Linked DNA regions of Danio rerio. The protein of the gene in region 2 interacts with the protein of the main gene of each other region in a biochemical or structural test. Links are inferred from orthologs where the notes say so. Each region holds a gene or a part of one and is shown on either strand. Other genes may lie near its edges.

Region 1 (4,273 bases), about 8.5 Mb from region 2:
TTCAGTCATAACGACCGCTTGCATAAATGAGCTGAGTACTTGGGCAAAAAAAAAGAGAGAGGAGCTTGTGAGGATGAAACAACATCCGCCTGCTCAATTTTTTGTATTATTAACCTGTCAGTCTTTGGCACATTCATCACACCTTACTTTTTTTTCCCCCTCAGCATCACACAGCGGATCTCATTCACCAATAACGCCTTAGCAGAATACAAATAAGAGAAGTTCTTACCAAAACTTTATTTGGGCATCAATTTGTTATCCTTTTTATGATGTTAATGAATTGGTTGTACTTTAAAAACAGCAGCTGCATGCCCAGAGTTAGTCATTTGCATAAAACGCAGACAAATATCCATAGGGCTTTATGCACAACTTTTCTTTTATAAGCATAAGCCACTCTAAGCTAATAGATGGTGCTTTCTAAAGACTCACCTGTAATAACCTATTTAGATGCTATAAATATATTTTATGCTGATGTCTGGTTAGTTACACTGGAATATCAGACCCATTTTCAAATTAAATTCAGGAACGATGTAAAATAGACTGCCGATAACCCTAAATCTAAATTTTAAAACAAAATTTTTTATTACATTATAACATGCTCATTACATAAATAAATATGTAAGAATAGTTAGAGGCATTCATTATAAACATTATTTATAGGGATACTCCGATTGATCAGCCAGAGATCGGTATCGGCCATTAAACGCATTTAATAACTCAATCGGTACTCTCTGATCTGGCCGATCTCATGAACCGATTGCAAGTGTTTGTTGGAGATGTGTAAAAAGATTTGAATGACCTTGCATGCATTTAGGCCTTTTTACAAACAAAAACTAAAAGTTCTGTGTTTTTGACAATATTGAAAGTTCACTAAAACCTGTCTGGAAATATTACATAAATATATATTTTAACATGAATATTTAATAATATAACTTCTTGTAATATACTTACTGCAATAAACAGTAATGTATATGCCTATTTCCTTTTAGTAAAGAAGTAATGGATTTATAGTGGGGATTTTATCTTCTTATGCATCAAATATGCACTTCTAACTTTTTCTTTACTTATACATGTTGAATTCCTACTCCATCATTTGCATACAAATTGCATTGTTTGTCATTTTTCTTACCAATTTGTTTATGTTTTATCAATGATTTTGTATATACTGTATCTGCTTCTGACCATTACATGTTCACACCTATAAGAGGCTATAAGAGACATGTTTAAGGGATTATATGCAGCAGACATAATTTATTCTCTGGGGTAAGGAGAGATCTCTACTTAAGTATCGTACTTAAAAGCGAAAATGTGCTTAATGTAATATGAAGTTTGAAGCATTAGAATCTGTATTCTGTAACAGATTTGTTAAGGTTAATTCGTAGCATTAAAAAGGTAACCAATGCAAAACAATCCCCAGTTTTCAAACCTAGAAATTTTATAGACCATTTCAATGTGGTAATGTCATTGGCCAATGAACATTTTCTGCTTGTTATCAAACTATTTTATACCTGTAACGAGACAATTTATTCATAACTTGATGTTATAACAGCTATCGTAACACTATTTATCAATATGTGGAACATCTTGGACTCTTAGAATCTTTGGAAATTTAAATAAATTTTAATAAATTAAAAAACGGAAATATGTCAGGACCGTTGTTATTGTTTACATCCCTCAAAATTGTAAGAAGACGTTTAAATTTAACTTGAAAGCATGAATGTGATGTTGGAACACTTACCTCCCTTACGGCCTTGCAGAACTCGCTCTGCAAAACCCTCTGAAGGGCTTGCAGCTTCTGGGGTGGCACTTCCCCTGTTCTCTGGAGCTTGTCCAGCAGCTCAATGGCACGAGATATGTCTGTAGAATAACATATGTAAGACCAAGACCATGGATAATCATTTGCATCATGCCATCTGGAGATGTTGTCTGTGGCTAAACAGCTTTCCCTGATAAATAAAACAACAACACGGACCGCAGATAACATTTTAGCAAATCCTTTCTTTATGACAAATATTATTGTTGTTGTTGTTGTTATTAATATTGCGCCATATATTGTATGTAACGTTACTAGTATATAATTTAACGCTACCCAAAAGAAATAATGTTTGTAAATAAAAACTAAATAACTTAAGAATGAAATTATTTACTATTATAATGCTACTTACCGGTTTCTTCTTGATTTATACAGATACATGTAAATATTAAGATAAAAACAGACGGTCATAAATCAGAGTTTTAGCTGATCTACTAGCCTAAGTTAACTCTACTGTGTATTAAAGCTTCAGTTAAACTCAAAATAAGTTGCTGACTATTAGGACGTCACTGAAAGACTTTACTAACCCCTAGAAATACTCAGATGCACTGATCTCTGACCTGAAGTGCCCATGCTAACAGAGCTCACAAAAGATTAACGCTTTTGACAGCTACCCTCGTGTTTTCCTTTCGTTGAACGTAAACTCACCGCTTTAACGACATATAAATGTCCGTATTGCACATTTTATACGTTTTGTGAACGTAGTTTAGTTTATAGAAAAACGTGTATGATCTCGAACGGTGAATTGATGCTAGCTCTCTGTCGAGCACTAATCCATCCTCACGAAGTGACAGCGGGAGAACAAAAAGCGTGATTTACACAACATCCTGCTTCACGTACGGCAGAAAGTGTCTCGGTGCGCGGCTTACCTCTTTCCAGACGTACAGGTTCTCCTAAAGAGGCCATTATAGCCCTGGTTGTTGAGTTTGCGTTTGGTGAAAGCTCCAGAGTTGCGACTCGGCGGCTGTGTTTGTTGCTGTTAGCTTGCTGAGCTTAAGCGTTGTGGCTAATGCACCGAGATTACGGATGAGCGTCAAGAGCGTCATTCCTGCGTTGCTTCCGCGCAGACACTTTGCATACCATAACAAACTGACTTTATTATGATTTTCTCAATGAAATTGGAATATATTATATATAATTTTAACATTAAACAATATATTTAAAGCAAATATGGACTGTTCGACTTGGTATTTTGTTTAGGACATCGAGTTTGACTGCATAAATTATTACAATTCAGATAGTAGACACGTGTAATAGGGCTGTTTTACTGTCAGTAATATGTTACTGGACTAGTTAAGAAAATAATGTTATGGCAGCTATACAGTGATATATGGTCAACAACATAACCCACGCTCAATTGGATAATGTATTAGCCAATCAGAATCCAAGGGCAGAAATATTTCCATACATTTTAAACCATATGAATGAATAGTTTATTCCAGGTAAGGAATGCATTTATATATGATGATTTATTTATTTATTTATTTATTAAATTTTTTTTTTACAATTCAGACTACAACTGTTTATTTTAGAAATCTTTAGGCACACTTTAGGGTATTATTTTTGGGTTATTTTGACATCAGATGATACATTTAAAAAACTTTAACAATGTTATCACATTACTATCAAGAAATATATGACTGTGTTTTCATTGTTGGTTCTGTTATATTAGTTACATGAAATATGTTTACTTATATATTATTTAAATAAAAATTATTTGTTGCTAATGCTAAAAAATGTTAAGATTAATTAATGCTTTAAAAATGTTTATTTTGTTGAAGTAATTAATGATAACAAATTACATATTTTTGTAAAACTATTTTTCTTAGAAAAAACATTTATAGAGGATACAAATACATATATATGACTTTGAAATATTAAATATTGATGACCAAACGGCACGTTTTTTTTTTTTATCAAGCAAAAATAATTGTTGTACTTTTGTATTTTTTTCTTTTTTTTTATATTTCCCAAATTATGTTTAACAGAGCAAAGAAAGTTTTACAGCATGTCTGATAATATATCTTTTTCTGGAGAAAGTCTTATTTGTCTTATTTTGGCTAGAATAAAAGAAACTTTTATTTAAAAAAATAATAAAATTTAAGGTCAAAATTATTAGCCCCTTTAAGCTATATATTTTTTGATATACAGAACAAACCATCATTATACAATAACTTGCCTAATTGCCTAGTTAAATTAACCTTGTTAAGCCTTTAAATATCACTTTAAGCTGTATTGAAGTGTATTGAAAAATATCTAGTAAAATATTATTTACTGTCATCATGGCAAAGATAAAATTAATCAGTTATTAGAAATGAGTTATTAAAACTATTATGTTTAGAAGTGTGTTGAAAAAATCTTCTTTCCATTAAACAAAAAATGGGGAAAGATTTTTATTTTATTTTTATTTATATATATTTTTCAAATTATGTTTAACAGGGAAAGGAAATTTTCACAGCA
Region 2 (3,244 bases):
AATATAAGGCAATAATTAATCAGACAATACATTCACTTTAAGTAGTTTTAATAAACTGAGTCGTTATGTGTAATGTAATGTGGCTGATTGATTAAAAAGTTTACACAACCAAATTAATATTTTATATTATTTATTATATATTATTTAATAATAATATTAATAATAATATTTATTTTATATATATATATATATATATATATATATATATATATATATATATATATATATATATATATATATATATATATATATATATATATATAAATATATAAATGTACAGGCAAAATACCAAAATAGATTGCAAACTAGAGATAGCATGCACAGAACAATGATTTTGTTACAAATCATCCATTAACTATTTTTGTGTGTGTGTGTAAAAATGGTCTAAACCAAAGGGTAAAAATGCAATGCAGTGTAAAGATTTCCTGTCTATTGTCACATCTGGCGCTGTCCATGGTCCTGGAAAAAATAGATTCCATTTTCAGTAGATGTACACAAATGACATGCATGCTGGATATGCTTCAATTGACAAAACACAATGACTACCACCCTGAGGTATGCTGCAGAATGAATGAGAATTGTCTTTTATTAAATAAATAGCAGCTTCACAAAAAGATGACATTGCAAGGATGTTTTTTTAAACAAAAAAGGATCTGGTAAACATTCACAGGCTATGGTATAAAAATGGACTTTGAGCAAGGGTAGGTGATAGAGGAGAAATTCTAAGGCTCTACACAGGAAAACAGCAAAAATTTACAGCTTTTTACATTGTTTGTTCCTAGACATCCTCAAATGATAATTTTTGGTCTTGCAGACCAACATCTGTTGCCATGGACACCAAATAAATGTCCATATAAAGTAAATGATATTAGTACTCATGTCTCTTGTGCAATTTTGCTTCTTCTCTCGCTCTGTCATGACCAACTGATGAGGCAGCACACAACAAACCTTACATTCACAGGAGAGCTGAATTACTTCAATACCTGCTGAAAAACTATCCTTGAGAAGCAGTTTGGGCCACCCACGGATTGCTGGCATATCTGCTGATTATGGAAAACAAAACTGGAAAGACTTTTGAAATCATCAATTAATTATATGAAATCTACAGGATTTCCATGAGAGGCACATCTCGTTCTTTAACTGTTCAACTGGACAAAAAGCCATCATAATGCCATACATCTTCATATGGAAAGCCATTGTGTTTATATAAGTGACAATTAGAACTTACAAGTACAACTAAACCCTGGGATTTCAAACGAGTCTTTCAGGCATAGACTTTTTTAAAGTTATACTACTCTTGTCATTTTCAGATCCCTTAAAAGTCCTGGAACAAAACAAACTGGGATTGGTTTCTATACATGTCAGTCAGATGGCCTCTGGGCGGTCCTTGAACAATAAAAACTGAAGAAAAATAAAGCTTCAAATTTGGACTGCATTAAAAACAAAACTAAAGCCATATTTGTTGTGTCTTTAGTATTTTTGAATGTTTGTTTTAAAGTTTTAAGATAGGTATGATGTAACCCTTTTGTCTAATTTAATTTGGTCCAGATTTCTGGGTCAGAGGAAAGAACTGCAGTCATTTCCTCTACATTGTTAGAGCAGGAAATACATGATGACCCGAATATTGTATTATTGTTTCACTGCAACTCAAAGGATTCAGCATGTAGCATTGGATATGTTTACAAGTTACACAAAGAATGATCTGATTTGCAAGTGTATGTAGACAGCATAGCTTCATCCATTGTAATGCAACTAGCTTGGATGACAGGGACTTTTTGGATTCACACTAGATTGTTTTGTAATTACTCGATCGACCACAAGAGGACGCTATCACTCTATCTTGCATGGACTGCAGTCTCATAATGTCCAGTGCTGCTTTGATAAGAGACTGGGTGTTCATGCATTACTTAATGGCATTCAAACATCTGAACCTGTTAACACAAACAAACACACACTCGTTCATGTTACATTCCCCCTCACTTTTCTGACCTCAGTCAGATTATTGTTTCTGGAGCTAATTCAGCATACATTCTATGCTGTGTTACAGCTGAGGTTGAGGAGACGGTTCATCAGAGTAACATTTTTTTTCATGGGCACAGCATCTCCACACTTAAAGCTTGGTCACTCCCTGTCCTGTTTTCAGACACTGCTGGTGTGTTCTGTGTGACTGTGACCGCTGCTTATAGAGATCTCTGATATTCCAGGTTTCAACTCCAGTCCGGTGTCAGTGTCTATATCAAGAGTCTCCAGATTTCGGATTCCATTCCCATCCCCATTGCGGCAGTTACTATTCCGGTCAATGGAAACTTTGTCACACATCAGAATAGGTGTGACTACCGCATGGGATGGACATGGAACGTTTATAGTGATGGGTTTAAGCCCTACGTGTCTGTATTGGCAGTGCATATAGTTTGAAAACGCCCTTCGGTAGGTCTTGTTAAACAAAGTGTACACTAAAGGGTTGACCCCTGATGAGATGTAACCCACCCAAACAAACACGTTGAGCAGTTCCGTGAGTAGAGTTTCCTTACAGGTTCTATGGCAGAGGACGTACAGTACGTTAGTGATGAAAAAGGGACACCACATGAATAGAAAGAGGAAGAACACTACACCCAACACTTTGGATGCTCGCCGCTCGTTCTTGATGGCCTGCATCATCCCCCGTCGTCCATGAGCTCCAGCTGGGTCCCGTCCTGCGGGTGAATTCATTTGAGATGGCGCTTCTGAACTTGGGATTATTGAGATAGTGTCTGGGGGCACGGTCAAACCGAGTGTATTTCCATCGCTGTTGCTGATCCGTAAGCAGTTCAGACTGCTGCGACGAGATGGAGCCAAGGGTGGGACCAACTGGGAAGAAGGTGGAGCTGGAGGCTGCAAAGGCTGCTGGGAAGAAGCTTTGCCCTCATAGAGGAAGACTGTGGCCTGGCGTTGAAGTGCTTGGACGGTGAGACAGTATGTGACCACCATGATGACCAGAGGAATAAAGAAGGCAACAAAAGAGCCAACCAGTATGAAGAGTTCCTCGTTTAGAGCACAGATGCCATTCTTCAAGACCTTTTCCCTGTTACTCAGTCCAATCACTGGAATGGGCATTGAGATACCTGCAGAAAAGTAACAGAGAATGTTAGAGTCTGCCTGAACTGGAAGTAATTCCACTAATGTAATTCCAACTAAAACAGACTATAGAGTATGGGCGGAGCTTCCTTTTGCACTTCATTCCCTCATAGCAAACTCAGAGTCATAT
Region 3 (2,396 bases), on a different chromosome or scaffold from region 2:
TTTTTAAGCATGTGTTGCTCCTTTAACTAACCTGGGGCATGTAGTAGGTGTGGGCAATTAAAAATCACACTTGAAAGCTGATAAAAAAGGAGAGAAGTTCACTAAGGCCCCGTTTACACTAATTCGTTTTAGTTTTAAAAAGCACAAGTTTTGCTATGGTTACGCCTCCGTCCACACTACGGCAGATTTTTGGAGCCCCAAAAACAAAGCGTTTTAAAAAAACTGGAAAGGTCGTTTTCATTCTAAAACGCTGCTGCTCCATCTCAGTGTGGATAGGGGAAAACAGAGACATCTGAATACGGAGGCGGGGCTGCAGACATTCACTGATTGGGGCTTTTTCCTCAATATTAAGTAGTAATATTACTACTATTATTAAAGTACTTTCTTAACAATAAAATGAAAACATGATATGAGGAACAGCCTATTTTCAATAGCAACTTAACAGACATCAAATGTGTTGAGGCGTCGTGTAGCTGCATAATATGAGTGTCATCTTCATACATATTTAAAGCAAAACAGAGCTGATAACATAACTTTCATTTTCATTGAAAATATGAAACATACCTCCTTTCACTGAATATCAGTTTTAATAATCAATAATGGCCATTATAAAACGATTTTTTTATGATACAACGTACAATAAGTTTATACAATATAGGAAATAAAGGTAAAGCAATCAGTCACTATGCAGAATCAGTGTATGCGGTTACATTAATTGATATATTAACCCAACTTATCCTTGCACTCAGCCAAAACACCTGAGAACAAGTAATATATTCTGAAGACCAAAGTCGGGGAATATGTCGTTAGATGTAGACAAGAGGATGAATTAAACATCATTATTAACAAATATACTGAGATTAGATCCAGCGGTAGATCCTTGATGAACAGTGCGACGTGCACAGCTCTCATATGGGTATGTCCTCAAAGCATGCTGCAGTCCATTTCAGAGTGTGAGTGTGATAACGTGATGTGCGTTTTCAGCGATTTAATGTAGACCCAGAGCTGTTCAGAAATTCTGGGTGAAACGCTAGTGTGGACGCTGATCGTTTTTATTCTAAAACGCTGTTTTAAAACTAAAACGTATTACTGTAAATGGGGCCTTAGTCTGCATTGTGTATCTGTGTGTGCCACACTAAGCATAGACAACAGAAAGAGGAGAAGAGAACTGTCTGAGGACTTGGGGAACTAAAACTGGGGGAAAATATACACAGTCTCAAGGTTACAGGTCCATCTCCAGAAATCTAGATTTGCCTTCGCCCACAGTGCACAACATTACAAGAAGTTTGCAACCCATGGCACTGTAGCTAATTTCCCTGGGTGTGGATTGAAGAGAAAATATGATATAATTATGTCCAGGCCATTTATGCAGTTTTGTGTGATATTATGTCAAATGTGCTTTTTTCTTTAATTTTTTTTGTTTTGTTCCAATTTACACAAAGAGAATAAACGTGTATGAAGTAGCACATGTTTTAATGCAATCCTTGTAGCATTCAAAATTATTTTTTAATAAAATGTTGTTTATTTGTAATGTAATGGCAAAATAGTTTTGTTTATATAGAATCTTTATTACAGTCCTTTATAATAACCCTTCAAATAAATAAGGTTGATCAGAATTGTATTTCTTGAATGATTATGTTAATGATTTTTTTTTTTTTTTAATAATGAATTTTATGTGAATGTTTCAGATGTGGCATTATTATAGTAACCTAAAATGGACTATACAAATTTTTTTTGTTACTTTTACAAAATAAATGTTATTTAATACATAAATTTATACATTTAAATACATACTATTAAAATATTTATTTCAACTAGTTGAAAACTGAAAGTAAAAGACATGAAAAACGAGAATACAAAAGACTAAAAGAACAAAACATTTAAAAACCTGTATTAAATATTATATTCTGGTCTAAAATGAAAGTTTAATGTTTTTTTTCTTCTTCTTTTCTCTACAGATTTGCAGTCTGATGAGAGGAGGGATAGCAGAACGAGGTGGGGTGCGTGTTGGCCACCGGATCATTGAGATCAATAGTCAAAGTGTTGTGGCCACCCCTCATGAAAAGATTGTACACATTCTGTCCAATGCAGTTGGTGAGGTAAGTCTGGAAAGCAGAAACAAGTCCAAGCTTGCAACTGCCTTACAAAATATTGCTCACATTATTCTTTCTCTAGTGAGCAATAGTCCATCTTATTTTTATAAGAATCATCAAATTATGGACTAAAACTGCACCCTCTTTAGCTGTTTTACGCAGACCAAAAGAAAGGTTTTTGAACTTTTATAAGTATTTTTGTACACACAACCAAAATGAATGCGATTTCTGTATGAAAAGTTCACATTTATGCATCTGAGAGGGAAACTTGAATTAAAATTGATTAAAATATGAGGAATATGT

What was found.
Region 1: the proteins of htr2cl1 (region 2) and lin7c form a complex in vitro, tested with the Homo sapiens proteins (2 studies listed by BioGRID and IntAct, with this or other methods). The link is inferred for Danio rerio from reciprocal best matches to the Homo sapiens genes HTR2C and LIN7C.
Region 3: the proteins of htr2cl1 (region 2) and apba1a form a complex in vitro, tested with the Homo sapiens proteins (2 studies listed by BioGRID and IntAct, with this or other methods). The link is inferred for Danio rerio from reciprocal best matches to the Homo sapiens genes HTR2C and APBA1.

What each region holds. Positions count from the first base shown.
Region 1 is NC_133182.1:31,966,148-31,970,420, forward strand, and holds the start of lin7c (protein lin-7 homolog C), read right to left. Parts: upstream 2,838-4,273; 5' UTR 2,720-2,837; coding exon 2,683-2,719; intron 1,858-2,682; coding exon 1,739-1,857; intron 1-1,738. UniProt on the Homo sapiens protein: Plays a role in establishing and maintaining the asymmetric distribution of channels and receptors at the plasma membrane of polarized cells.
Region 2 is NC_133182.1:23,475,477-23,478,720, reverse strand, and holds the end of htr2cl1 (5-hydroxytryptamine (serotonin) receptor 2C, G protein-coupled-like 1), read right to left. Parts: intron 3,102-3,244; coding exon 2,140-3,101; 3' UTR 559-2,139; downstream 1-558. UniProt on the Homo sapiens protein: G-protein coupled receptor for 5-hydroxytryptamine (serotonin).
Region 3 is NC_133180.1:56,845,170-56,847,565, forward strand, and holds part of apba1a (amyloid-beta A4 precursor protein-binding family A member 1), read left to right. Parts: intron 1-1,958; coding exon 1,959-2,099; intron 2,100-2,396. UniProt on the Homo sapiens protein: Putative function in synaptic vesicle exocytosis by binding to Munc18-1, an essential component of the synaptic vesicle exocytotic machinery. May modulate processing of the amyloid-beta precursor protein (APP) and hence formation of APP-beta.